Cricetulus griseus: one gene and its partners. Each later gene encodes a partner of the first gene's protein in a complex. Links are inferred from orthologs where the notes say so. Each region holds a gene or a part of one and is shown in the gene's direction. Other genes may lie near its edges.

Evidence for each region.
Region 2: Sf3a1 (region 1) and Sf3b4 share a complex: the UniProt entries of both Homo sapiens proteins name them as parts of the 17S U2 SnRNP complex. The link is inferred for Cricetulus griseus from reciprocal best matches to the Homo sapiens genes SF3A1 and SF3B4.
Region 3: Sf3a1 (region 1) and Htatsf1 share a complex: the UniProt entries of both Homo sapiens proteins name them as parts of the 17S U2 SnRNP complex. The link is inferred for Cricetulus griseus from reciprocal best matches to the Homo sapiens genes SF3A1 and HTATSF1.
Region 4: the proteins of Sf3a1 (region 1) and Sf3a3 are in contact, whole or in part, in an NMR structure (PDB 2DT7), measured with the Homo sapiens proteins. The link is inferred for Cricetulus griseus from reciprocal best matches to the Homo sapiens genes SF3A1 and SF3A3. Residues at the interface, in NP_005868.1 of Homo sapiens: Ala161, Phe162, Asp165, Val166, Leu169, Thr170, Phe173, Asn177, Phe181, Gln184, Leu185, Lys188, Phe195; in NP_006793.1 of Homo sapiens: Glu80, Phe81, Glu83, Phe84, Tyr85, Arg87, Leu88, Ile91, Lys92, His95.
Region 5: Sf3a1 (region 1) and Sf3b5 share a complex: the UniProt entries of both Homo sapiens proteins name them as parts of the 17S U2 SnRNP complex. The link is inferred for Cricetulus griseus from reciprocal best matches to the Homo sapiens genes SF3A1 and SF3B5.
Region 6: Sf3a1 (region 1) and Sf3b2 share a complex: the UniProt entries of both Homo sapiens proteins name them as parts of the 17S U2 SnRNP complex. The link is inferred for Cricetulus griseus from reciprocal best matches to the Homo sapiens genes SF3A1 and SF3B2.
Region 7: Sf3a1 (region 1) and Sf3a2 share a complex: the UniProt entries of both Homo sapiens proteins name them as parts of the SF3A subcomplex of the 17S U2 SnRNP complex. The link is inferred for Cricetulus griseus from reciprocal best matches to the Homo sapiens genes SF3A1 and SF3A2.

Annotation. Positions count from the first base shown.
Region 1 is NW_023276807.1:100,730,556-100,734,690, reverse strand, and holds the start of Sf3a1 (splicing factor 3A subunit 1), read left to right. Parts: upstream 1-1,335; coding exon 1,336-1,398; exon of another isoform or gene 1,399-1,432; intron 1,433-4,135. Other genes in the region: Ccdc157 (coiled-coil domain-containing protein 157), read right to left, coding at 1,001-1,246. UniProt on the Homo sapiens protein: Component of the 17S U2 SnRNP complex of the spliceosome, a large ribonucleoprotein complex that removes introns from transcribed pre-mRNAs.
Region 2 is NW_023276806.1:60,350,896-60,354,923, reverse strand, and holds the start of Sf3b4 (splicing factor 3B subunit 4), read left to right. Parts: upstream 1-1,228; 5' UTR 1,229-1,352; coding exon 1,353-1,386; intron 1,387-1,771; coding exon 1,772-1,900; intron 1,901-2,147; coding exon 2,148-2,690; intron 2,691-2,937; coding exon 2,938-3,144; intron 3,145-4,028. UniProt on the Homo sapiens protein: Component of the 17S U2 SnRNP complex of the spliceosome, a large ribonucleoprotein complex that removes introns from transcribed pre-mRNAs.
Region 3 is NC_048604.1:15,372,653-15,376,048, reverse strand, and holds the end of Htatsf1 (HIV Tat-specific factor 1), read left to right. Parts: intron 1-617; coding exon 618-755; intron 756-1,270; coding exon 1,271-2,572; 3' UTR 2,573-2,896; downstream 2,897-3,396. UniProt on the Homo sapiens protein: Component of the 17S U2 SnRNP complex of the spliceosome, a large ribonucleoprotein complex that removes introns from transcribed pre-mRNAs.
Region 4 is NC_048595.1:28,350,622-28,354,788, reverse strand, and holds the start of Sf3a3 (splicing factor 3A subunit 3), read left to right. Parts: upstream 1-1,367; 5' UTR 1,368-1,454; coding exon 1,455-1,550; intron 1,551-1,796; coding exon 1,797-1,844; intron 1,845-2,171; coding exon 2,172-2,224; intron 2,225-2,332; coding exon 2,333-2,438; intron 2,439-3,263; coding exon 3,264-3,336; intron 3,337-4,167. UniProt on the Homo sapiens protein: Component of the 17S U2 SnRNP complex of the spliceosome, a large ribonucleoprotein complex that removes introns from transcribed pre-mRNAs.
Region 5 is NC_048595.1:275,868,412-275,871,057, reverse strand, and holds Sf3b5 (splicing factor 3B subunit 5), read left to right. Parts: upstream 1-1,452; 5' UTR 1,453-1,601; coding exon 1,602-1,862; 3' UTR 1,863-2,146; downstream 2,147-2,646. UniProt on the Homo sapiens protein: Component of the 17S U2 SnRNP complex of the spliceosome, a large ribonucleoprotein complex that removes introns from transcribed pre-mRNAs.
Region 6 is NC_048596.1:54,027,587-54,031,086, forward strand, and holds part of Sf3b2 (splicing factor 3B subunit 2), read left to right. Parts: intron 1-380; coding exon 381-472; intron 473-763; coding exon 764-979; intron 980-1,292; coding exon 1,293-1,430; intron 1,431-1,588; coding exon 1,589-1,669; intron 1,670-1,855; coding exon 1,856-2,083; intron 2,084-3,500. UniProt on the Homo sapiens protein: Component of the 17S U2 SnRNP complex of the spliceosome, a large ribonucleoprotein complex that removes introns from transcribed pre-mRNAs.
Region 7 is NC_048598.1:101,584,551-101,588,132, forward strand, and holds the end of Sf3a2 (splicing factor 3A subunit 2), read left to right. Parts: intron 1-758; coding exon 759-805; intron 806-1,018; coding exon 1,019-1,128; intron 1,129-1,620; coding exon 1,621-1,670; intron 1,671-1,743; coding exon 1,744-1,884; intron 1,885-1,975; coding exon 1,976-2,044; intron 2,045-2,127; coding exon 2,128-2,970; 3' UTR 2,971-3,082; downstream 3,083-3,582. Other genes in the region: Amh (muellerian-inhibiting factor), read left to right, coding at 3,412-3,582. UniProt on the Homo sapiens protein: Component of the 17S U2 SnRNP complex of the spliceosome, a large ribonucleoprotein complex that removes introns from transcribed pre-mRNAs.

The DNA of each region.
Region 1 (4,135 bases):
TGTCCATTGACATTCAGTCACTATTAAGAAAATATTTTTTAAACTCTAAAACCATCGACATGGCAGTTGCCAATCTCTGACCTGAATTAGCTATTGTCTGGACCCCTTGGGACTTGAAAGTAACACAGTGAAGGCATAGTAATAAACATCAGTTTAATGGAGAAAACTAGCCTGGATATGGTAGATTTTTTCCCCTCACAGAGAGAACCCCCCACCCCCCACCCCATCCCCCACCCCCACCCCACGTGAGCATAGATTCTAACTTCGTGGTCTTAACCAGTAAATAGCTTGCTGTAAGGAGCAAATGATGCAATACCTGTAGGGTTTGACACAGGATCTGGCTTGTAGTAAATACATGTCCAACTGATCCTAATTGTCCCTGTTCTACATTGATAACAACGAAATAACCAGCTACAGTGGAGAAGGACCTTGGGCGTTTTGTTGCTGCCACATTTCACAGGTGAAGTGAGGCGGGATGAGCTCAGAATCCTCTTTCAGTATTCCGGAGTCAGGAGAGGAGAGGGAATGGGGACCTAGAGGGTCTCAGGAGAGAAAAGCAGGTGATTGGAGGCTTGTCTCCGGGAAGCGAGGGGCGTGGTCTGCAGGGCCGCACTGGTGGGAGTTTGGAGAACAGTTATGATTGGAGGAGGTCGGGCTTGAGGGAGGAGCTATGGAAGTTTAGGGTGCAACTTAGAAAAGAGGCCAGTAGGAAGAGACCCTAGGGAATTGCGGGCTTGGGCTCTGTAAGGCGGGGAGGTTGTGCTGAACAGAAAAGAAAAGGTGTGTGTGTGGGAGGGAGCTAAAGGTGTAGTTAGGTGGGACTTTAGTTGCGGTAAAGTCCCACCTTCTAAATTTTCCTTCTAATGGAAGGAAAATTCTTCAAAAGGACAGGTCAAGGAGGAAGAAAGACTGGAGTGAGGAGAGGAAGGTGCGGTGGCAGGGAGCGAGGAACGGACTAGAGTCGCCAGGGGAGTTCAGCGGATGATGTAGAATGGCTCACCTGTCTCCGGCGTCGCAGCCTCAGCTCTGTGTCGGGCCGGCTCACAGAACTTCCCCCGGAGCGCCAGTGGCTCCTGTGATCCCTCGAAACCCTTAGCGGCGCGCCCAGGCTGCTGCCATGGCAACGGAGTAGCGCGCCTCCTTGCCCGCGGGGCGGGGTGGGAAGTGCGCCACGGCCAGGGGGCGTGACCGGAAGTGTGTTCACTAGCTTCCGCGGCTTTTCTCTGGGTCGCCGCCATCTTCCCATTGCGTTGTAGCCTTCGTGTGGGGAGCTCAACCTTGCCGCTGCACCGGTTGTCGCCCTGAGGCGGACTGGCAGCCCTGAGCGTCGCAGTCATGCCGGCCGGACCCGTGCAGGCGGTGCCTCCGCCGCCGCCAGTAGCCACTGAACCCAAACAGGTACCGCGCCCCGAGCTCCTCAGCCTGCAGTCCCGGTGTAGGCCTCGTCCCTCCCCTCCCGCGCGGGCGCTACGGCACTCCCGCTGGAAAGTTCAGGCTGCCCTGAAGGGCTTGGAGGGACTGCAAGTCCCAGGAGTCCGCGCGCCGCGTTGCTTCTGGTCCCCCCCAAACTCCCCAGAGCCGAAATTCTCAAAGTAGCCTGTGGACTTACAGCCTCAGCTTCACCTGGGGGCTTATTAGAGTCATGAAGCCTCCACTGTAAACCCAAGTAGGAATATGTGTTTTAGCCATTTCCTAAATTATCTCGTTAAAATGTGAGAAGCATTGGGCCAGCCTGTTCACCGTCGCAGTGGAGCCTACCAGTCGCTTATCCTTTGTCTAGTAATCTCTCATTTCCTAGCCTGCTCTATTTTTTTGTTGTTGTTGTTTTTAAACACCTCCGAGGTGCTTTCCCTAAACCGGACAAGGTACCAGCCTTCATCATTACAGAATGAATGTGGCATAGCTCCTGCCTTAAGAGAGAGCCCAGGCTAGTGAAAATACAGATTTGCACAAATACTCAATGTTTATTGTCTTGGTCAGTGTAATGATAAAGTGTCAGGCAACCTTTAAAAGCTCTAAAGGCTGGGCATATGACACACATCAGAAATCCCAGCATTTGTGAGTTTGAGGTAGGAAGATCGTTAATTGAGTAGTAGTTTGGACTACAGGGTGAGACCTCAAAGCTCACAAATAGCTGAGGAGGAAGTATGTGGGTAAATAATTGCAGTTAAGTTGAATACAAGTAAACCACGAATTTAATCAGCATTACTTAATAAATGTAAGGGAAGTAAGTCCACAGGAGTGAGAGGTGAGTGGCTATTTTAGAAGAATGAATAGTGATGAAGATGGAGAATGAAGAGTGATGGGAAAAGGAAATTATTTATTCAACATACATTTATCAGGCACATACTCTATGCTTATTGTTGCTTTGGGTTCAGAACACAGTCTCAAACATGACAGAGGAGGCCCATGTTCTTACTCCAAACATTTATGTATTTGTGTGCCTATGTGTATTTTCCTTGACACTGGGGGAAAACAGACAAGGTGATACCAAATAAATATAGTTAAAAATAGTTAAAAAACCACCAAAGTAGGAATCAGGTGGTCCCTCTTTTGTCAGAGGTTCATGAACAAGTGTGGCTCAAATGCAGGTTCGGGATAATGGTGGTAGGAGATGCAGTTAGGATTTGAATATGTCCTTGAAGACTGGGAGATATTTTAAGTTGGATAGTGACATTTGTGTTTCAAAAATTTAGGCTTGCAGTGATCTAAAGAGAGAGGAAAGAGAAACAGTTATGCTATTCAAAAGACACTGAGGGTCTGATCTAGATTGGGGCAAGAGGAATGGGCATGTGATTGTCACAGAATGACTGTTGACATAGGTTCTCCGGCCAAAGTGATGTGCTAGAATCCTGATTCTGCCTGTAGGGGAAGGCACAAGTTTGTTATTCCCCTGTTGTCTATAATATGGGAATAAGAATACCTATTCAGGGGGCTGGAGAGATGGCTCAGAGGTTAAGAGCACTGAGTGCTCTTCCAGAGGTCCTGAGTTCAATTCCCAGCAACCACATGGTGGCTCACAACCATCTGTAATGAGATATGGCACCCTCTTCTGGCAGGCAGGGATACCTGCAGATAGAAAACTATATAATAAATAAGTAAATCTTTAAAAAAAAAAAAAAAAAAAAAAGAATACCTATTCAGGGTTGTCATCAGGATCCTAAGAGTTAATACAGCTCATGTGCCTGACATGTACTTTGTGTTTGGTGAGACTGAGGAGGCCTGGATTTCTGGCTTATGTGACTGGAAAACCATTCTAGGTTAGAGATGAAAGTGCCTTGGAGTCTGTTTAGTCTAAAGCTTGTTGGGAGATTGATTTAGGCAGAATTTTTCAGCCTAGAGTAGGGAAAGGAAATGTAGAATAGAGTTTTCAAGGGTGTCTGGGTGAAGATGGTGTGAATTCTGAGAAGAAATTATAAACATACATGTTTAGAGCAGTGATTCTTGACCTTCCTAATTCTGTGACCCTTTAATACAGTTCTTTGTCATGACCTCAAACCATAAAGTTATTTTAATTGCTATTTCATAACTATAATTTTGCTACTGTCATTAATTGTAAATATCTGATATGTAGGATTGTCTTAGGTGACCCCTGTGAAAGAAGGGTCATTCAATCCCCACAGGAGTCACAAAGTCACATCCCACAGGTTGAAAACTTCTGGTTTAGAGGTTTCCAGTGCTGTAGGTAGGAGGTAAAATACATAAGCCAGAACACATAGAGGCTCCTGAAGCTGTAGATGACTTTAGACAGTTATTTTTTACTTTGCCAAGAATATTTGAAATGAGCACTTGAGAGGCAGAGGCAGGTGGATCTCTGTGAGTTTGAGGCCAGCCTGGTCTACAGAGTGAGTTCCAGGAGAGTCAGGGGTGTTACACAAAGAAACACTGTCTCAAACAAACAAAAAGGATACTTGAAGTAAATGAACCAAATAGGAGATGAAATAGGAACTCAGTATGTTCAGCTGCCAGAGGAAGAACAGGGGAAGCAGCCCAAAGGAACATGCAGGCGGAGAGAAATCTTGTTTTTCTAAGATGAGATCTCAGCTCTTAACTGAGAGGAAGAAGATGGTGGATAAAGTACCAGGGATAAAACATTCAACTCCTTTGAAGCTCCATAAACCATTTATGAATTTAA
Region 2 (4,028 bases), on another chromosome or scaffold:
TCCAAATACCATCCTCTCTCAGATCCGTTGAGACTGCTAGCATTCTCGAAGGCAGGGCAGAGGGAATGTGGAGGGAGTTCTGCTCATGTTTCTTTGTATCTGACCTCAGTGTTTCAAGCTTTCACATTCCAGCCCATAAAGGAGCTCACTCCGTGAGTGAGTTTCTGTAGCAGACATGGAGCTACCAACCTCCAGCTATTTTTGTTTCTCTGGAATAAGAAACAAAACCACTTCAGAACGTTTCCTTTTTTTCTCTGGCAATTCCATGCCGTTTAGATGACAAACTGTCAAAACTGTGAGATCAGAGACACTTCATCAGTTCCAACAAGATGCCCCAGAGACTTCATTCTCAACCCCTCACACTGCTTTGAAATCCAGTTTCTTAGTCTTCTGTGGGAATGAGGGAAATAAGGGAGACACCCTGTCCTCCCACTGTATATTTTTGTAGTGGTATTTCTATTTAAGGACTTCATTAAAGCACAGTATTTCTACACATTGCTGGTATTGTTTCTTGTGTTGAATGAAGATCTCGGTAAAGTGGTTGGGGGAGGGTATGCACTGAGAGAAAAGCACCCAGATTATTGATACAGAAATTAAGGACCCAGTTCGAGGCCAGCCTGGTCTACAAGAGCGAGTTCCAGGACAGCCTCCAAAGCCACAGGGAAACCCTGTCTCGAGAAACAAAACAAATAGATAAAAAAGAAGTTAAGGACCCAAAACAGGAGGGGCTATTCCGACGAAATTTGGAGAAAGAAGCACCAACCCCTTTTTTTTTTTTTTTTTTTTTTTTTGAGACAGGGTTTCTCTGTGTAGCCCTGGCTGTCCTGGCCCGGGAGGAAGGCTCTCTGAGTGTCTCTTCTGTGGGAGGGGAGGGATGCACGGTGCTGCCGAGTGCTCCCGAGGCTGAGACTGACCGTGAACACACGCGGCACCGTGCCTCAGATGACCCCACGAATAGTGGGGCTCAGACACTTCCGTCTGCACTGAGGTAACAGGCTGCGTCCCGAGGCAGCCGGCCCGCCCCTCCCTCCCCCCAGCACGCTTCTCTGCGTCACAGAACATACAAGGCTGAGATTAGGGCTTAAATTTGGGCTGGGGAGCAGCGGGACTGCCTGACAGGCGAGAGCCGCGTCGTCAAGAGGGGCCTGAGCGCCTCGGCGCCAGCCGGGCGTCGTGAGAGCTCCACCACAGCGTCTTTCCAGACACGCGTCAGACGCCTAAGATGGCCGCGGCCACTTCCGGCTCCTCCCCTGCCGCCCGCCCCGCCCAATGGGAGCCTTGGCCCGGAAGTGGAAGTCGTAACAGGTCAGAGGGCGGTGCTGCCGCTTAGAGACGGCGGGAGCCTCTTCGCCATGGCTGCCGGGCCCATCTCCGAACGGAATCAGGGTAATTGGGGGAGAAGAGCCCAAGGTGGGCCCAGGGAGGTGGAGGGCAGATGAGTGCTAGAAGCGTTAGCGCCAGCGTGGGAAACTAGGTTTCCCCGGGAAGGCCCGCGTCTGGGGGCTGGGCCTGGGGGCCGGGTTGAGGCCGAGGCCTGTGAGGGTGATGCCTCTGGATCCGGTTCCCGTAGGCACTCCCGCTGCTACCAAGCGCATCATTGAAACTCCACCGGGAAGTACACAATCCGCAAGAACGCCACATTAGACTTGAGCGGGTTTTTTTATACTAGGCAGGCAAAGGGTGATCTCAGGGTTTTAGTTACTTTTTTTTTAAATTTCTGTTTTCCTTTTAACTCGTGACCTCGTCCTTACCTTCTGCTTTCTTGCTTTAGATGCCACGGTGTACGTGGGCGGTCTAGACGAGAAAGTGAGCGAACCACTGCTGTGGGAGCTCTTTCTCCAGGCAGGGCCGGTGGTCAACACCCACATGCCAAAGGATAGAGTCACTGGCCAGCACCAAGGTGAGTATTTACGGCAAGAAATGACTTTACTTTGGGTTAGCGGCCCCTGAAGCATCTCAACACTAGTCACAGCTATTTTGGAATGGTTTCTTTCTCTAAGCTTCAGTTGGCAGTTTGTTTCAGGAGTAGTCTCTTAGCTTTAGTTTGAAGTTGGGATTCTTCCAACTTGTTCTTTGTTTGGAGGCTGGTGAGTTAGTGTGTCGTTTTGAATCTCTTCATCTGAGTAGTCTTTTCTTCAATTCCCCAGGCTATGGCTTCGTTGAATTCTTGAGTGAGGAAGATGCTGACTATGCTATTAAAATTATGAACATGATCAAACTCTATGGGAAGCCCATACGGGTGAACAAGGCTTCAGCTCACAACAAAAACCTGGATGTAGGGGCCAACATTTTCATTGGGAACCTGGACCCAGAAATCGATGAGAAGCTGCTTTATGATACTTTCAGCGCCTTTGGGGTCATCTTACAAACCCCCAAGATTATGCGGGACCCTGACACAGGCAACTCTAAGGGTTATGCCTTCATTAATTTTGCCTCCTTTGATGCTTCGGATGCAGCAATTGAGGCCATGAATGGGCAGTACCTGTGTAACAGACCCATCACTGTGTCTTACGCCTTCAAGAAGGACTCTAAAGGCGAGCGCCATGGCTCAGCAGCTGAACGACTTCTGGCAGCCCAGAACCCGCTGTCCCAGGCTGACCGTCCTCACCAGCTGTTCGCAGATGCACCCCCTCCACCCTCTGCCCCCAATCCTGTGGTTTCATCCCTGGGTTCTGGGCTTCCTCCACCAGGTAAAGCTTTTAGTTCAAACTACACCAGTGAGAGGCCCTTGGGAGGGAGGGTCAGAAGGCAGAAGAAACCCTGAGGGAGTAAGCTGTTAACTCAGCGGGCAGCGAGAAAGGGATGAGGAGTGCTGGTGGAAGGGATGCAGATGTTGGGTTTCTTTGGGAGACTGGAGTTTAGTGTGCTGGAAGGAAGCTAGAGCTCTGTAAGACAGTCTTTCTTTCTTCACAAGATAGACTCTCGTTTCTTGTATAGGCATGCCTCCTCCTGGCTCCTTCCCACCTCCAGTGCCGCCACCTGGAGCCCTCCCTCCTGGGATACCCCCAGCCATGCCCCCACCACCTATGCCACCTGGGGCTGGAGGACATGGCCCCCCAGCAGCAGGAACTCCAGGAGCTGGGCATCCTGGTCACGGACACTCACATCCTCACCCATTCCCACCAGGTGGGATGCCCCATCCAGGTAAGTGGTCTGCTGGGAAACGGAGATGAGCTTGTGAGAGTGATTCTGTCACTGCTCTTTGTCTTGGGTGGAAATAGTCTAGAGTCTCCCTTTCCTTCAGAAAATACTTCTGTGTGTACTTCAGCTCCCTCCCGTCTTGTCTCTGGTTTTTCCTTTTTCTGCAGAATAGCCTGTTCTTACTGTTTTTACTCTCAGCCTCTCCTCTGATTCCCAGGAAGGAGCTCAGTTGCCAGATCTAGGCGACATTTTTGCTTATTTTTTTTTGTTGTTGTTTTGTTTTAGGGATAAGGTCTCTCTGTGTAGGATCCTGACTGTCCTGCAACTCATTCTGTAGACCAGGCTGGCCCTGAACTCAGAGATCTGCCTGCCTCTGTCTCCCAAGTGCTGGGTTTAAAGGTGGCACTACCACTGGGCAGCCGTTTCTGCTTTTTGTTTTTGTTTTTCGAGACAGGGTTTCTCTGTGTAGTTTTGGAGCCTATCCTGGCACTGGCTCTGTAGACCAGGCTGGCCTCGAGCTCACAGAGATCCTCCTGCCTTTGCCTCCCGAGTGCTGGGATTAAAGGCGTGCACCACCAACGCCTGGCCTGTTTCTGCTTCTTAACCACTACTATACACATGACGAGCTATGCATGTATTAAACTGTTTCCTCTATGTGACTTATCAACCTCAGCAACCTGGGTCAGCCCCCTTTTTTGTCTGTGTAGATTTTGTGCTTTGTTCTTCTTCCAGTGTTTATTTGTAGTGTTAAATGTGCAGGTACTGATTCCTTCTGTCTCTAGTCCATGGTTCTTGACAGGCTAGACAAGGCTGCTGCTCAACCCACAGTTCACTTTTCTCCTTCCAGCATCTCCTTCTACAGCCCTTGTTTGTAGCAGCTAAGTTCA
Region 3 (3,396 bases), on another chromosome or scaffold:
AGAGTATGTGATCAGGTGAGAGCAACTAGAATAAAAATGTATGGAATATCAATTTCCTCAAAGTTCTTGCCTTTCTCTGTTATTCACCTGATCATAGTCAAGGAAAAAAAAAACAACTATTGTTTAGTTTTCTCTGTACTTCCAAGACTGATAGAAAGTACTTAACTGACCATTTCTTACAATGTATTGCTGGTATGCTGCAAGGGGCTTTATACATTGTGCTGCTTAACCCTCAGAACCCTTTGAAGTAGGTAGCTACTAGCTGTACAGATAAGGAAGCCACATCTTTTCAAGTAGAAGTAGAAGTACTTGTAGAAGTGCTTGTTCAGTTCCTGACAGGCAGGCTTTAATCTCAAATTCACACTCAAACAATTACATGGCCTTAGCTCTTGGGTAGTATTGTTAACAGAAACATTTGCAAGGGCACTGTACTGGTTCTTGCTAGACAAAATGAAGCTAAAGAAGCAGCTGACCACTGGCTGGAATAAAAGGGAAGAAAGATTTCAGAAGTCTTTTAGTTCAGAGTTTCAGGAGAATACTACTCTTTATCAGTCTTATGAAATGTGTATCTGATTTTTAATCTTGTCATTCAGTCCTCCTTCTTCTTGTCTTTTTAGAGGCACCCAGATGGTGTGGCCTCTGTGTCCTTCAGGGAACCAGAGGAGGCTGATTATTGTATTCAAACTCTTGATGGAAGGTGGTTTGGTGGCCGTCAAATCACTGCTGAAGCCTGGGATGGGACTACAGATTACCAGGTAAATCCTGCAGCTCTCAAGGGCACAGGAACTGTTGCCTTGTCAACTGTAGATCTAGTTTGGAGGTTGCTTTAATCTGTTTTGTATAATACATCTTGTAAATAATGTTTTGCATTAGAGGATAGAGAAATTCTTATCACTTCTCAGCTTGTAAGTCTTTAATTTGGAGGTTTTAACCTCAGAATGATAAGAATAGAAGAGTGCTAACTATTCCTCATCTTTCTTGTTAAAGAGAATGTACAGAGCTCCAATAGTAATGTTTTAGGAAGTGGAACATTTCAACAGTACTGGGATAGTCACATATATTTATATGATTTTATTGCAGGTATATTGTGTGTAAGGTTGTGTAAACAGGTATATAGTTTTGAAGACCAGAGTAAGGACATGCATGGATTGCTTTAGAAAAGTTGCTTTATAGAACGAGGGTACTTGTGTCAATAGTAGAACTTCCCAGAGAAGTTGTTGCTTCTTTTTGCCTAACATTCATCTTAACCGTAGTCTCTGTTTATTCACAGGTAGAGGAGACCTCAAGAGAGAGAGAGGAAAGGCTGAGAGGCTGGGAGTCCTTCCTCAATGCCCCTGAGGCCAACAGAGGCCTCCAGCGGATGGATTCTGTCTCTGCTTCAGAACAGGCAGGGCCTTCCAGAGGAAGGCATTTTTCAGAGCACCTGAGCATGTCTACCACAGGTGCTCAGGAAGCTACAACTGGAATAGCACTTGAAGAGCCTATCGATGAAAAGAAGTTTGAAAAAGCAGAAGATGGGGGAGAATCTGAAGGAGATGCTTCTGAAAAAGATGCTAAAGAAGGTGGGTACGAGGAAGGTTACCCTGAAAGAGAGGGTGAAGAGGGCTCCTCCAAGATAGAGTGTGAAGAGGGCTGCCCCAAGACAGAGTATCAAGAGGGCCACCCCAAGAGAGAGAGTGAAGAGGGCTACCCCAAGAGAGAGAGTGAAGAGGGCCACCCTGAGAGCAAGCTTGAAGAGGGGAATCCTAAAATGGGATCTCAAGAGAATGGCCCTGACAGAGAATCTAAGAAGAAAGGCAAAGATAATTATGAAAAGAATGGCCTGGCAAAAGAGTCTGAAGACAATGAGCTCAGCAGAGAGTCAGAAGGGGAAGAGAGCCTCAAGAAAGAGTCTGAAGATGATGACTCAGAGGAAGAATCCAAGGAAGACTGCCCAGAAAAGCTGTATGAAGATGACTCTGACAAGGAATTAGAAGAAAATGGTGTTAAAAAAGATTTCGACCAGGATACCTCTGACAAGGAGTTCCCTGAAAATGTTGAGAAAGAGTCAGAAGAAAATGACACTGACAAATCAGAAGGTGATGAAGGCTCTGAAAGAGTGTTAGGTGAGGAAGGCTCTGAGAGAGAATTTGAGGAAGACTCAGATGAAAAGGAGGAGGAGGAGGAAGAGGAGGAAGAGGAGGAAGAAGACAGAGAAGAGGAAGAAGTTGTATATGAAAAGGTTTTTGATGATGAGTCTGATGAGAATGAGGATGAAGAAGAAGCAGAAGAAAAGGAGTGTGAAGATGCTGATGACAAAGAGGAAGAAGATGACACAGATGACAAGCTCTTTGATGACTCCGATGAAAAGGAAGATGAAGAAGATAGAGATGTAAAGCAAGATGAAGATACCAATGACAAGCTATTTGAAGATAATTCCAATGAGAAGTTTTTTGATGAAGAAGAAGATGCCAGTGAGAAATTGTTTGATGATTCTGATGAGAGAGGGACTATGGGGAATGTGAAGGAAGATGGGTCTCAGTCCACCGACAGCAGCTTTGCCCTCAGTAGTGATGATGATGATGAAATGTAATCCTTTCCACTTGCTTTTTAGGGAGAGCCCTGCGTCTCTGTTTGCCTGTGCTTCAGGATCAGTAGTAGTGTTACATCAACAAGTGCATAGTGGTAGGATGCCATCAGACTAATGTCTCGAAGGTTTTTGTTCTTACCTATAACAATGAATTTAAATGTGTCTATTGGTTCTTCAGTTAAAACTTCATAGTTTAACGCAAGGAAACTGGATACCTGTCGTTTTGTTGGATTTGTTAAATGCATGCAAAAGAATATTTTTAAAGTATCCTAATTGGAGTTTGTGATATTCAGAAATAAAGATAAATTGATAATATGCAGAAACTGAGATGTGGACTTGAGTTGATATGTGTTTTGAATCAAATATCACTTGATTCCTCCCACAGTCCTTGTTTCCACCTGTGTCACCATTTGGGATAACCTTCCCCATTCTGCAGTACAACATGGTCCTAAAGTCACAAGATAAATGACATTTTAGATCCTTTCCCCAATCCTTGGAAGTTACATGTTATCTTTTTTACTCTTTCTATTAAGACTAAGATGTATAAACTGAATTCAATGTGGTCTATACCTTCAATTATTGAAAATAGAAGGTAATCAGAGGTTGACTATGCTGGTTTAGAAGATGACTAAAGAGATGAGTTCTCTCTCCAGAACAATGTACGCACAAGCATTACACAGCTTCTTATATACAGTTTGGAGAGGCCCATGAATTCCTCTGGAGATTAAGAACTTTCTCCCTAGGAATATACTTTGTGTTTTGTTTTAGAGTCACAGTTCCTAGTATTGTACCATGTCAGATTGCCCCAATACAATTATGAATCATCC
Region 4 (4,167 bases), on another chromosome or scaffold:
CGAGTGCTGGGATTAAAGGCATGTGCCACCAACGCCCGGCTCCCCCAGATGTTTTTAAATAGGAGATTTATTGAGGTTATAATTACCATTCACTTTAAGTGCTACAACTCGATTTCATTTTAGCAAAGTTGATAGAATTGTACAAATATTGCCACCCTCAAAAGGATTCATTCCTTCTGCTCTTTTTAAGTCACTTCTTATCCCAACCAACCCTTCTCTCATCTTCCCTTTGTCTCCATGGATTTGCTGATCCAAACATTTCATGTGAACACTGTTTCTGTTGTTTTTTTTGTTTTGTTTTGTTCCTGGTTTTTCAAGACAGGGTTTCTCTGTGTAGCTCTGGCTGTCCTGGAACTTGCTCTGTAGTCCAGACTGGTCTCCAACTCAGAGATCCACTTGCCTCTGCCTCCCTAGTGGCAGAATTAAGGGCTTTTACCACCACCACCTGGTGTTTGTTTATTGTTTTGAGATGCTCTCTTACTACAAAGGGCAGGCTGAGCTTGAACTTGCTCCCTTCCTGCCTCAGTCTCCCAAATATTAGAATTACAGGTGTGAGCCACTCTACTTGGCTCCAACTCTGTTCTCAGTGCATGCTGGACAAGCTCTTTATACTGATTCAGATCTCAAGTCCTAATCTGTGTGTTTGTTTCCTGAGTCCCAGTCTCTCCATGTAGCCCTGGCTGTTCTGTAACTCACTATGTAGACCAGGCTGGCTTAGAACTCACAGAGATCTGTCTGCCTCTGCCTCTGGAGCGCTGTTAATCTTTTTTGCTTCTTCCTCTTCCTCCTCCTTTAAAGAAAGGCAGCCTAGATCTCATTTTCTAAGCCGTACAGCCAGCACATGGTAGGCAGAGGCAGAAGAATTAAGGATACGGAGAATCAGAGGTAACCCTGTACTGAATAGCAAGCATTTCATTGCTTGAATATACCACATTTTACTTAAAGAGCCCTCTGCTGATAAAGGTTATTTCCACATAGGAGTTAAGAACAAAACCACCTCCTCACTTTACTGACAGATACTAAAGTCCAGACAAGGAGAAAACACCAGCGGTCACACCCTGAAACTAGAGATTCCAGTTCCTCTTTCCCTTCTTGTATCCTTCAACTTCTCAATCCCGGTCCACATCAGTGAGTCTTGCCGGCCCAGCTGGCCACAGAGAGCCCCAGGCAGCAGTTGCCTCTCACCCTCCGCCTACAGCATTTTTGCAGGCATTCAGTCGCTGAGCATCGCTCCTCCACACCTCCAGCCAGCGGGGGGCAGTGGTACCGACAGCAAGGACTTGCTCTCCGTGTGGTGTTCATTTTTTGAGGTCCCCCAAGGCACTTCCGGAACTCACGGAACTTTGGTGCAGCCGGATGCAGCGCGTTGAGAGAGAGACGGAGGCGCACAAGGCGGCAGGCGCTGCTTCCGGCCGTGTTGGTCGTCTGAATTGAAGCGCCGCGGCGAAGGGAAAATGGAAACAATTTTGGAGCAGCAACGGCGCTATCATGAGGAGAAAGAACGGCTCATGGATGTCATGGCCAAAGAGATGCTCACTAAGAAGTCCACGGTGAGTGGACCGTGGTCGGGAACGCATCCGGAGCCCCTGAGCGCTTTCTTCGGCCTTAGACCCTCCCCGCGCCCCATCTTCGCCTTCCTCCTGGGCTGCCTCTGCGCTCTGGCCTCGGTAACATCCTCCGAGGCCCCAGCAGTCCCTCTGCTTCAGCTCCTGAGACCTAAACCAATAAACTCGTCCTTCGGGTGGCCTTTCCAACCCCCGAACTCAAACTAACAGCATCTGTTTGCCTTTCTCCAGCTCCGGGACCAGATCAATTCTGATCACCGCACGCGGGCCATGCAAGATGTGAGTGCCCCGCTGTCCGCTTCCTTTTAGGTTGGGCTGGGCGGGGAAAGTGCTGGCAGGGAAGGTGCGGAGGCTCAGCGTGAGGACTGCTTGTAGGTGCTGAGAATACCCCGTCTCAGGTTCTTAGACGTAAGTCCTGTCTCTGCCTCCACATGCTGGCATTAACGGTGTGTGCCACCACTCCCCACTCAGGCTGTCTAGAGGAACTTTCAAGAGCTCGTATCTCATGAGGTTTCCTTGGGCTTGGCCAAGAAAGCCTTCGTTGTTTATTTAGCCCTGTCGTTGTACAAATTGCTTCATTCTGATGGATTTGTGTTTGCCTTTCAGAGATACATGGAGGTCAGTGGGAACTTGAGGGATTTGTATGATGATAAAGATGGGTAAGTGACAGTCACATACATCCCCTCAGCAGGTAGAGCTTCTGAGGCGGCATGGTGAGAGGATTGGCTTTGTGCTTTATACTCTTCGGGTTTGTCATTATTTTGCAGACTTCGAAAAGAGGAACTCAATGCTATTTCAGGACCCAATGAGTTTGCTGAATTCTATAACAGACTCAAGCAGATAAAGGAATTTCATCGGAAACACCCAAATGAGGTATGGTCTCCTGAAGTATTTCCCCAAACCTACCCTAAAATAAGAAAAGGTGCAAGGAAAATGGGGGTATGCCATTCAGATGTCACTCCAAGAAAGGGCTTGCCACTTAACTGCAGTGAGCATAGTTAGCTGACATCGTTCCTGACATCTCTCAGCCAGTAAAGGAACACAGTGAAGGCACGAGGGCCTACTTTTTTCTTTCTGATGAGAAATGATTAATTTTTGCTCCAGAGTTCTTTATTGGCTTCATTCAGATTTTGTCTGCATCATAGTCTAGACTCCTTATCCAAACTTACTTTCTCCTTTTTATCTTTCATAAGAATTCTCCCCCACCCAATACACTGTGCTCCTAATTCTGCCTTGAAATCTTCTACCAACACAACATCACTCTGCTCACTCCAGAGTTAATGAACACCTTCAGGATTCATGTCCAGCACCAACTCCTTTATCATATATCTTTTCTGCTAGGCGGTGGTGGTGCAAGCCTTTAATCTCAGGGATCAGGAGGCAGAGGCAGGTGGATCTCTGTGAGTTCGAGGCCAGCCTGGTTTGCAGAGTGAGTTCCAGGACAGGCTCCAAAGCTACACAGAGAAAACCTGTCTCCAAAAAAAAAAAAAAAAAAAACTTTCCTAGACTATCTCTTCCAATGCAATCCTTCCTTAAGAGCCCAGATTTTGTGGTAATGACTGCCTTCCAGTTATACTAAGCAAAGCAAGAGGAGAACAGTAGTAAGCTCCTGAACACCACAGGGCAAATCAGGTATCAGAAGTCCAGTTCTATGCATGCATGAGACACTGATCCACCTGCGCTTTCTCCTTCCCCCAGATCTGTGTGCCAATGTCAGTGGAATTTGAGGAGCTCCTGAAGGCTCGAGAAAATCCAAGTGAAGAGGCACAAAGTAAGTATGATTTAATGTTTCTTTCTGAGAAATTTGAAGCCATCCTGGGCTATATAGCTAGAACCTATCTTCTCTCTCTATCTTTTTTTTTTTTTAAGCCTTTATTTTTATTTTGTCTGTATGGGTGTTTTGCCTGCATGATACCTATAGACAGTGTGTGTGCTATGCCTGAGGAGGCCAGGAGAGGAAGTCGTATCCTCTAGGACTGGATTTTGAGTACCATTTGGGGGCTGGGAATCAGACCTGGGTCCAGGTCTAATATATCTGATATCATTTAAATCAAAAAGTTATGGACAGGTGTCTTTGTTTTGTTTTTGTTTTTCTTGTTGTTTTTCTTCCTTAACTATTGAGCCATCTGTCCAGCCCTTTCTTTCTTTGTTTCTTTGTTTTTCAAGACAGGGTTTCTCCTTGTAGCCCTGGCTGTTCTGGAACTTACTCTGTAGACCAGGCTGGCCTAGAACTCAGACATCTTCCTGCCTCTGCCCTCCCCAATGCTGAGACTAAAGGAGTACCCACCACCGACTGACCGACTGGCATTTATGTTTGTCTGGTTTTGTGATTTTTTTTTTTTTTTTTTGGTGGTGGTGGGTAGTGGTGGGTTTTTTTTTGTGTGTGGGGGGGTGTTTGTTGTTGAGACAGGGTCTCTCTACATAGCTATAGCTGTTCTGGAACTCACTATGTAGATCAGGCTGCTCTTGCTCCCATGTGCAGCTGGCCTTGAACTCATGATCCACCTGCCTCAGCCTTCTGAGTGCTAATTTTAAAGCAATGTACGGGGTAATGTGGAGATTAGATCTGTGTACAAAAATTAGCTCAGTTGGTAGAATATTG
Region 5 (2,646 bases), on another chromosome or scaffold:
GTTTATTTATCTATTTTTGTTTTTGGTTTTTCGAGGCAGGGTTTCTGGCTGTTCTGGAACTCACTTTGTAGACCTCTTCAGACCTCAATCTCATAGAGATCCACCTGCCTGGGCCTCCTGAGCGCTGGGATTAAAGGTGTGTGCCACCACTGCCTGAGGCATTCTTAATGGCACTGGAATTGCACTAATTTTTGATTTATTTCTTACTAACAGAATTTTCATGCAGATTCTACTTGTCTTAGTTGAAGTTTCTCTTGCTGTGACAGAACACTATAATTAAAAGCAACTCAGGGATGAAAGATTTATTTCATTTACTCTTCCGTATCACAGTTCATCATCTAAGGTAGGCAGGGCAGGAACCTGAAGGCAGGAGCCAATGCAGAGGCCATGGAGGGGTGCTGCTTAATGGCTTACTCTTCGTGGCTTTCTCAGTCTGTTTTCTTATTCAATTCAGGACTACCAGCCCAGGGGTGTCCCCACTGTAATAGGTTGGGCCCTCCCCTATTATCAGTCTCTTTGACTGAGATTGCTCTTTGTCCATTCATCAGATTTTTCTTTTAAAGAATACGATCTCCATCAAGCTATATAATATCCTCAAAGGATATCAGAAAAGAAGTACAGTATCTTTTTCTCAAGTAGTTTATACCTTTGTGAGGAGATACATAACCTCTAAGTTGAACATAAGGTGTAACCAGGCAGAAAAACAGAAGGAGAGAGTACTTGTCTTGAGACACAACTGACTTCCAGAAAATGATTGTAAGCAGCCTTAAAGTTAGGAGGTTGTTTGGTTGGAGGGCTCGGGCCCCTGGGTGGTGTGAGGAGTTGGAGCCTGGATTTTGATGTGGAAGACACCTGGTGTTGACACTCATCACCAAGCATTTAGGACCCAAAGAACTTTTCCCACTACCCAGATCCTAAGGGACAAAGCTGGGACCAAGGGCGGTCCGTGTGAGCTTCTAGGTACAAGAGATAGTTTTCCTGGTCACTTGTAGTCGTAATCGTTGGACACCATCCTACATTAGTCAGGCAAAAAAAAAAAAGAAGAAAAAAAAGGAAGGAAGGAAGGAAGGAAAGGAGGGAGGGAGGGAGGAGAAAGAAAGAAAGAAAGAAAGAAAGAAAGAAAGAAAGAAAGAAAGAAAGAAAGAAAGAAAGAAAGAAAGAAAGAAAGAAAGAAAGAAAGAAAGAAAGAAAGAGAGAGAGAGAGAGAAAGAAAAAGAAAACAAAAAACCAAACCAAAAGAAAAAAACACGCCAAATTCTTTGGACTACAAATCCCAGAATGCAACGCCGGAGTTAGAACGTGATCACCCAAGAGCCACTCAGCAGACCATCATGCAACGCTCTCCAAGTAGGCGGGCTCGCTGAGGGGACGGCCCAATGTTTCTTAGGCAACTCCAATGCCGCGGCAGGATTCACTTCCGCTTCCGCCTGGGAGAAGAGCGTCTGCGCAGGCGCCACAGTGGCGTCTTTCTCCCGCGCCTACACAGATAGAAGTTCCGTGTCGGGCCGGCAGCGGCGGCGGCGGCGTCTCTCAGGTTTGAACGCGGAGCGGGTAGCGTCGGGTCTGCGGCCTGATCTGGAAGCCTAGAGCGGAGCGGCGAGATGACGGACCGGTACACCATCCACAGCCAGCTGGAGCATCTGCAGTCCAAGTACATCGGTACGGGCCACGCCGACACCACCAAGTGGGAATGGCTTGTGAACCAGCACCGGGACTCCTACTGCTCCTACATGGGTCACTTCGACCTCCTCAACTACTTCGCCATCGCCGAGAACGAGAGCAAGGCCCGCGTGCGCTTCAACCTGATGGAGAAGATGCTGCAGCCCAGCGGGCCGCCGGCGGACAAGCCCGAGGAGAACTGAGGCGAGCGCTTCCCAGGCTCCCCCGCCGGCCAGCGGTGGGCCGGTCCTCCTTGCTCGGGCTTCTTCATCGTCTGTCACGCCTGGCCTGCTTACCTGTGGACGATTCCGAACAAGTCACCGAGAGACTGTCGGGACCCCCGGGAACTGTGCGGGAGGAGCGACCCTAGACCCGGCAAGCGAGGGAGAAGACGCCACGGGAGTGATGACGCGTTTCTAATGAGTCTGCCTTTCAGTAGTTGGTTGTCCTTCTTGCCATGTTTATAAAGTTTAGGATTTGTCCTATCTTTTGGTGTGGATTGCTGTGTTCCTTGGGTGGGGTCTGGGGAGGGTGCTGTGGACCAAGGTCTCAAGATGTTGCACGTTGCATCTGTTTTTCTTGAGAGTTAGTCTGTGTGTCTTCAGAAATGAAGAACGGATTTTTTTTTTTCATTCAGTGTTCACCAGAGCGTTTTCCAAAGGTTTGGGGGCATACATTATGCCAATTTGGAGAAAGGCTAAAATAGACCAGGGCTAGATGATGCAGGGAGATTGAGGAAGCTTGAAGAATTCGCAATTTTAAATACTATGCTTGTAATGCTAAGATATTGCGATGATGACATTTGAGAAAAGATTTTACGGAATCCAGAGAAAAACCGTGCAGAGCATGGGAAGTTGCTTACCATCTAATAGGGCATTCGTTGGTGTGTTTTAAGTTACTGAAGGAACACCAAAAAAGCAATGAGTCGCTGGGAGTGGCACACACCTCTAATCCCAGCACCCAGGAGGCAGAGGCTGAAGGATTTCT
Region 6 (3,500 bases), on another chromosome or scaffold:
AGAGAGGCTACACTCTAGTGATCTTGAAAACGGTTTGGTAGTGTATTCTTTTTTTTGTTGTTGTTTGTTTGTTTGTTTTCGAGACAGGGTTTCTCTGTGGCTTTGGAGGCTGTCCTGGAACTAGCTTTTGTAGACCAGGCTGGTCTTGAACTCACAGAGATCCTCTGCCTCTGCCTCCCAAGTGCTGGGGTTAAAGGTGTGTGCCACCACCACTGGCGGTAGTGAATTCTTGATCCTAGTACTTAGAAGGTAGAGATAGGTCAGAAGTTCAAAGTCATCCCTGTCTCCATAGTAAGTTTGAGACCAGCCTGAACTATATAAGACCCTGTTTCAAGTGAAGTTTCTATAGGAGAATTGATTGCCACATTCTTTTCTAACAGAGGAAGAAGAAATGGAGACAGATACTCGCTCGTCTCTGGGACAGTCAGCATCAGAGACCGAAGAGGACACCGTGTCCATATCTAAAAAAGAGGTAGGTGATGGAGCTTGTCCGGAAGGGTTCCACAGAGAGCGGGCTTGACCATGTGCCAGTTTCTGTCCTGAGCAGCTTTCGGGTCATTGCTTGTCACAAAGCCCTTTAAGTTCTAAGTGCTGTGGATTCATTCACACTGAAAATGATGCAGCTCCAGGATGCACAGCAACTTACCTTTGAGAGGCAAAACTTTGACATCTTCCATGTTTTTGTGAAGACTCAGTGCTAAAGTAGTGAAGGCAGGCATGTGGTAAAGATTCTCTGACTGAGGTAATTTTCCTGTCTTGGTAGAAAAATCGCAAGCGTCGTAACCGAAAGAAGAAGAAAAAGCCCCAGCGGGTGCGGGCAGCATCTTCAGAGAGCTCTGGGGACCGAGAGAAAGAATCAGCTCGTTCTCGAGGCTCTGACTCCCCTGCTGCTGATGTTGAGATTGAATATGTGACTGAAGAACCTGAAATCTATGAGCCCAACTTCATCTTCTTCAAGAGGATTTTTGAGGCTTTCAAGGTGCGAGGAGTGGTATGCCCTGAGTGAACCGCACTTTGATGTGCATGTGATGGGGTGAGATAAGACTTGGGGGGATGCGCTGGGTGTTGGTGGCACACACCTTTAATCCCAGCACTCGGGAGGCGGATCTCTGTGAGTTCAAGACCAGCCTGGTCTATAAGAGTTAGTTTCAGGACAGCCTTCAAAGCCACAGAGAAACCCTGTCTCAAAAAAAAAAAAAAAGACTTGGTGGGGGGGGATAGTTGTTTGCATACAGGAGTCAGAAATGGAGGTGTGTCAGAAGAATGGGATTCCAAATGGTCTGTCTCCTCAGCTCACTGATGATGTGAAGAAAGAAAAAGAAAAGGAGCCAGAGAAACTTGACAAAATGGAGAACTCTGCAGTCCCTAAGAAGAAGGGCTTTGAGGAGGAGCACAAGGACAGTGATGATGACAGCAGTGATGATGAACAGGTCAGGCTCCCCTCAGTTGGAGAGGGATGCAGGGCACAGGTAGTTGAGGTGTTTCCCTTAGAGACTATGGTTAAGGGCTTTCATGGTTTAAGCATTGAAGTGGACTGGGCAGTTTTGATTCCCATCCGAGGCCCACCTAAGAGGTTTCTGTATTCTAGGAAAAGAAGCCAGAAGCCCCTAAGCTGTCCAAGAAGAAGTTGCGCCGAATGAATCGCTTTACTGTGGCGGAACTCAAGCAGGTTAGACCTAAGATGACCCAGCTGGACCTGGAGCCTGACTGGGAAATTGTGAGATGCACCCAGCCCTGCTGAGTTTACTCTAGAGGGCTTACAAGGAGGTGCTTTTATGGATGCTTGGTTTAGGTGTCTTTTTAGAAAGAGAAGACAACTTTAATCAAGAGGTGGGTTTTCTATTGCACTTTTCAGCTGGTGGCTCGGCCTGATGTTGTAGAGATGCACGACGTGACTGCACAGGACCCTAAGCTCTTGGTTCACCTCAAGGCCACCCGGAACTCCGTCCCTGTGCCACGCCACTGGTGTTTTAAGCGCAAGTACTTGCAAGGCAAACGGGGTATCGAGAAGCCCCCCTTTGAGCTGCCAGACTTCATCAAACGCACAGGCATTCAGGAGATGCGAGAGGCCCTGCAGGAGAAGGTGAAGCCAGGCTGGGGCACAAACCTGAGTTTAGCTACCCATACCCTTTGTATGTAGCAGCCTGCCTTAGAATTGGACTTACCACCTATTTATTACTAGTCTAATGAACCTTTTTCTAGATTAGAAGTCAGCACTGTAAGTAGACCTTGAGTCTGTGCTTAGAGTACCACTCTTGCTAGTTTGAGGTTCCTGGTCCTGAATAGCAGCTTTCTTCCTTTCTCTTCTTCCCTCCTGCATTCACTTGGTCAGCTTGCTGTTTTCCGATGCACTTGTAGCTAGAGGTACAAATGATGCTTGTCTTAGTTGGGCTACTATTACTGTGATAAAACACTGACCAAAAGCAGCTTGGGGAGGAAAGGGTTTATTTCAGCCACAGTTCCATTATAACAGTCAAAAGCAGCGAGGTCAGGAACCTGCAGGCAGGAGCTGATGCAGAAACCGTGTAGGGTTACTGCTTACTGGCCTGCTCTATATGGCTTGCTTGGCTTGCTTTCTCTAACACCCAGGACCGCCAGCCCAGGGATGGAACCACCTACAATAGGCTAGGCCCTCCCCCATCAATCACTAATTAAGAAATTGCCCTGCAGCAGCAGCTTTCAACCTGTGGGTCTTGGTCCATTTTTGGGAGTGTGAGGGATGAGAGTGTCAAACTACCCTTTTACAAGGGTCACCTAAGACTTTTAGAAAACACAGATATTTACATTACAGTTCATAACAGTAGCAAAATTATAGTTAGGAAATAGCAGTGGGAATAATTTTATTGTTGGGAGGTCACTGCAACATGAGGAACCATATTAAAGGGTCATAGCATTATGAAATTTGAGAACTATTGCCCTACAGGCTTTTATACAGCCAGATCATATGGAGGCATTTTCTTAATTGAGGTTCCCTCCTCTCAGATGACTTTAGCTTGTGTCAAGTTGATATAAAACTGTCCAGCACAACCGGGCGTTGGTGGTGCTTGCCTTTAATCCCAGCACTCGGGAGGCAGAGGCAGGCAGGATCTCTGTGAGTTTGAGACCAGCCTGGTCTACAAGAGCTAGTTCCAGAACAGCCTCCAAAGCCACAGAGAAACCCTGTCTCAAAAAACCAAAAAAAAAAAAAAAAAAAAAAAAAAACCTGTCCAGCACAATACTTCTGTAAATTTTTAAGTTTAAATGTTTTAAATAAATAAGTTGAGTACTAGTTGTCTGTGATTAAAAAAATTTAAGTGGAAACCGCCTTCCTTTTAGCCTGTAGTCATACACTCCTGTCTTTCTTTTAGTTTTGGATTATTAACTTTTTTTTTTTTTTTTTGGTTTTTCAAGACAGGGTTTCTCTGTGTAGCTTTGGAGCCTATCTTGGTACTTGCTCTGGAGACCAGGCTGGCCTCGAACTCACAGAGATCTGCCTGCCTCTGCCTCCCGAGTGCTTGGAA
Region 7 (3,582 bases), on another chromosome or scaffold:
GCTCTTATGAGGCCAGGACCTCCTGGCCCTCTTGCTCTGCCTCCTGCCTGACCCTGCACTGAAGGTGGCCTGGAGACCAGCTAATCCTTTTGCCCTTTTCTTTTACTGGCCTTGATGTCAAGACAAGAGCCAGCTGTTTGATCTGCGAATGCCCCACAGACAAGTGATGGGTGCCTACCAGCCACAGGGAAGGGATGTAACTGGTTCTTTTTCTCTGGGGTTCTTTTTTTTTTTTTTCCTCGAGACAGGGTTTCTCTGTGGCTTTGGAGGCTGTCCTGGAACTAGCTCTTGTAGACCAGGCTGGTCTCGAACTCACAGAGATCCGCCTGCCTCTGCCCCCCCGAGTGCTGGGATTAAAGGCGTGTGCCACCAATGCCCGTCTGGGGTTCATTCTTAATCCAGGAAGTTACCTCCCTACCCTCTCACTGGATGACCAGACCAATCAGCAGTAAATGGGATGCATTTGACTTTGTTGACAATGGAGTCAGGTTGACACAGCTGGGCAGGATGCCCAGGAGTTGTAGCCTAGGCCTCCCACCCCTTGTTGGGAGCTCCCCAGCACTATAGACCTTCGGTGTGTATGCTGGTCCTGACCATAGAACTTCTCAGGGAGGCAAAGAGAGTATCATGCATGTCTCCTCAGTGTAGCCACAGACATTGTGCATCCCCTGCAGGCTCCCATGCTGGACGCTGTTAAGAGTTGCCCTGCCTGTCCTGCCCTCCCCACCTTTAGTGATGTGTCTCTTTTCTCTTTGCAGGGGAGCTACCTGGCTCACACCCAAGGGAAGAAACATCAGACTAACTTGTGAGCCCTCACTTGGTGTGGCTTGGTGGGGAGGGAGGGAAAGGCCCACTGCAGAGCTTATGGCTAAGGAGCAAGGACAGTCGGGGAGACTGGTTGGTATACTCCAGGGCTGAGCCCTCATCCTGTCCGTGAGTTCCAAGGCCAGGGGGTTCTGACAACTGGGCTCTTGGCCTTGGCGGCTGGTAGAGGGACACCTGTGTTTCCTGTTTGTAGGGCTCGGCGAGCTGCCAAGGAGGCCAAGGAAGCCCCTGCACAGCCAGCACCCGAGAAGGTCAAGGTGGAGGTGAAGAAGTTTGTGAAGATTGGCCGCCCTGGCTACAAAGGTGTGTGGGTGTGGGTGTGTGGCGGCCTGCCCACGAGACAAATGGTTGTATCCCTGACCCAGGATACACTGGTCTCTAGGACACTCAGCTGCTGCTTCCTCTGTCCTCAGCAACCGACTGTTGGCAGATAAGCACCCATCCCCCACTAGAAACTTCCAGAAGAGGAAAGGGAGGCAGGTTGTCTGCAGTCAGTGCTCCCAGAGCCCCTCAGCAGGGGCCTTGAGTGACCTGGCCTATCCAAAATGCCAGTCATGTGGCCAACAGGGAGCCAAGTGCCCCAAGAGTCACCATTGACAGTCAGGGTACTGGAAAGCTGTGACATAGTGTTGCAGAGGGCTGTCCACACTGTCCCTACATACAGTGCTGGGTGGGTTGCCCTCACTTGGATCCTAGCTAGGTGGCCAAGGAGCAGAGCGGCCAGGCCTGGTAAGGGGAAACCTGTTCTGGTAAGCACCCATGACACATGACAGCCCCGTCCCCTGTGTGTTGCAGTGACTAAGCAGAGGGACACAGAGATGGGCCAGCAGAGCCTGCTGTTCCAGGTGAGGTGAGGCCAGTGAGGGGTGGGCCAGGCAACCAGGTGGTAGTGCTAAGGTTTTTGTGCTCGTCCCCCAGATTGACTATCCTGAGATTGCTGAGGGCATCATGCCACGCCACCGCTTCATGTCTGCCTATGAGCAGAGGATAGAGCCCCCAGACCGCCGCTGGCAGTACCTACTCATGGCTGCTGAGCCCTATGAGACCATTGCCTTCAAGGTAGTGACCCTGAGGACTGGAGGAGAAAGATAAATTCAGGTTTGTCTGTTTGTATTGGTCCCAGGGTGCAGCCTCTGCTTCCCTCCCCCAGGTGCCAAGCCGGGAGATTGACAAGGCTGAGGGCAAATTCTGGACCCACTGGAACCGAGAGACCAAGCAGGTAAGGTGTGGCAAGACTTGCCTGGGTACTCCCCTACCCCCACCCCCCCTGCTCCTCCAGCCTCTGACCCTCCTCCCCTGCAGTTTTTTCTTCAGTTCCACTTTAAAATGGAAAAGCCACCGGCCCCACCCAGTCTCCCAGCTGGACCCCCAGGCGTCAAGCGGCCCCCACCCCCACTCATGAATGGCCTGCCTCCTCGCCCTCCACTGCCGGATGCCTTGCCCCCACCTCCGCCTGGTGGCCTGCCTTTGCCCCCTATGCCCCCCACAGGGCCTACTCCCGCTGGGCCCCCTGGACCTCCCCAGATGCCTCCACCAGCTCCTGGGGTCCATCCACCAGCCCCAGTAGTCCATCCACCCACATCTGGGGTCCATCCTCCAGCCCCTGGGGTACACCCCTCAGCCCCTGGGGTACACCCACAAACATCTGGGGTGCACCCACCAGCCCCTGGGGTGCACCCACCAGCCCCTGGAGTGCACCCACCAGCCCCTGGGGTGCACCCTCCAGCCCCTGGGGTGCACCCACCAGCCCCTGGAGTGCACCCACCAGCCCCAGGTGTGCACCCACCAGCTCCAGGTGTGCACCCACCAGCTCCAGGTGTGCACCCACCAGCTCCAGGGGTCCACCCTCCCCCATCAGCTGGAGTTCATCCTCAGGCTCCAGGAGTACATCCACCTACTCCTGCAGTTCACCCTCAGGCCCCTGGGGTGCACCCCCCAGCTCCTGGTATCCACCCTCAGGCTCCTGGGGTGCATCCCCAGCCTCCTCCTGGGGTCCATCCTGCCACCCCTGTGGTCCACCCTCAGCCTCCAGGGGTTCACCCCTCAAATCCTGGTGTGCACCCAGCTCCTATGCCCCCCATGCTAAGGCCCCCACTCCCATCAGATGGCCCTGGGAGCATGCCTCCTCCTCCCCCAGGCAACTGAACACTGGCCCCAGCATCCCTTGCTGCCTGTGTGTGGCCTTTTCCTGGCCAGTCCTTGGAAAAGTTTTCTGTTTTGTCCTGTCCTGAGCCCATTAAACAGCCTCCCCCATGTCTCCCTGTCTGCAGTGTGTGTCTGTGGTGGGGGGTATGGGCGGGTGCTGTGTGCCTTCATTGAAGGCATGATGACCTGTGAGTCCTCCAGGTGGACTCCCTAGGCAGATGGGAACTACCCAAGGACAGTTCTAGCCTCTGCAGTTGTGGGCCTGGCTGTGAGGACAGAAAACCCTTTGAGAAAGCCACCTCCCACCTGCTGTGCACACAGGGCACCAGGCACTGTCCCCCAAGGTCACCTCCACCTCCGGAGTTGATAGGGGTGTCCCTCCCAAGCACTCTGGCTCAGCCAAACATATAAGCAGGGCCTCCCAGCCCTTGTTGCTCTACCATGCAGGGACCACCCCTCTCTCCACTAGTGCTGCTGCTGGTGACCATGGGCACTGTGTTACAGGCCAAGACCCTCAAAGAAGACCTCAAAAGAGCCACCAGCACCAGGGGCCTCATCTTCTTTGAAGATGGGATCTGGCCTCTCAGCAGTCCCCCAGAGCCCTTGTGCCTG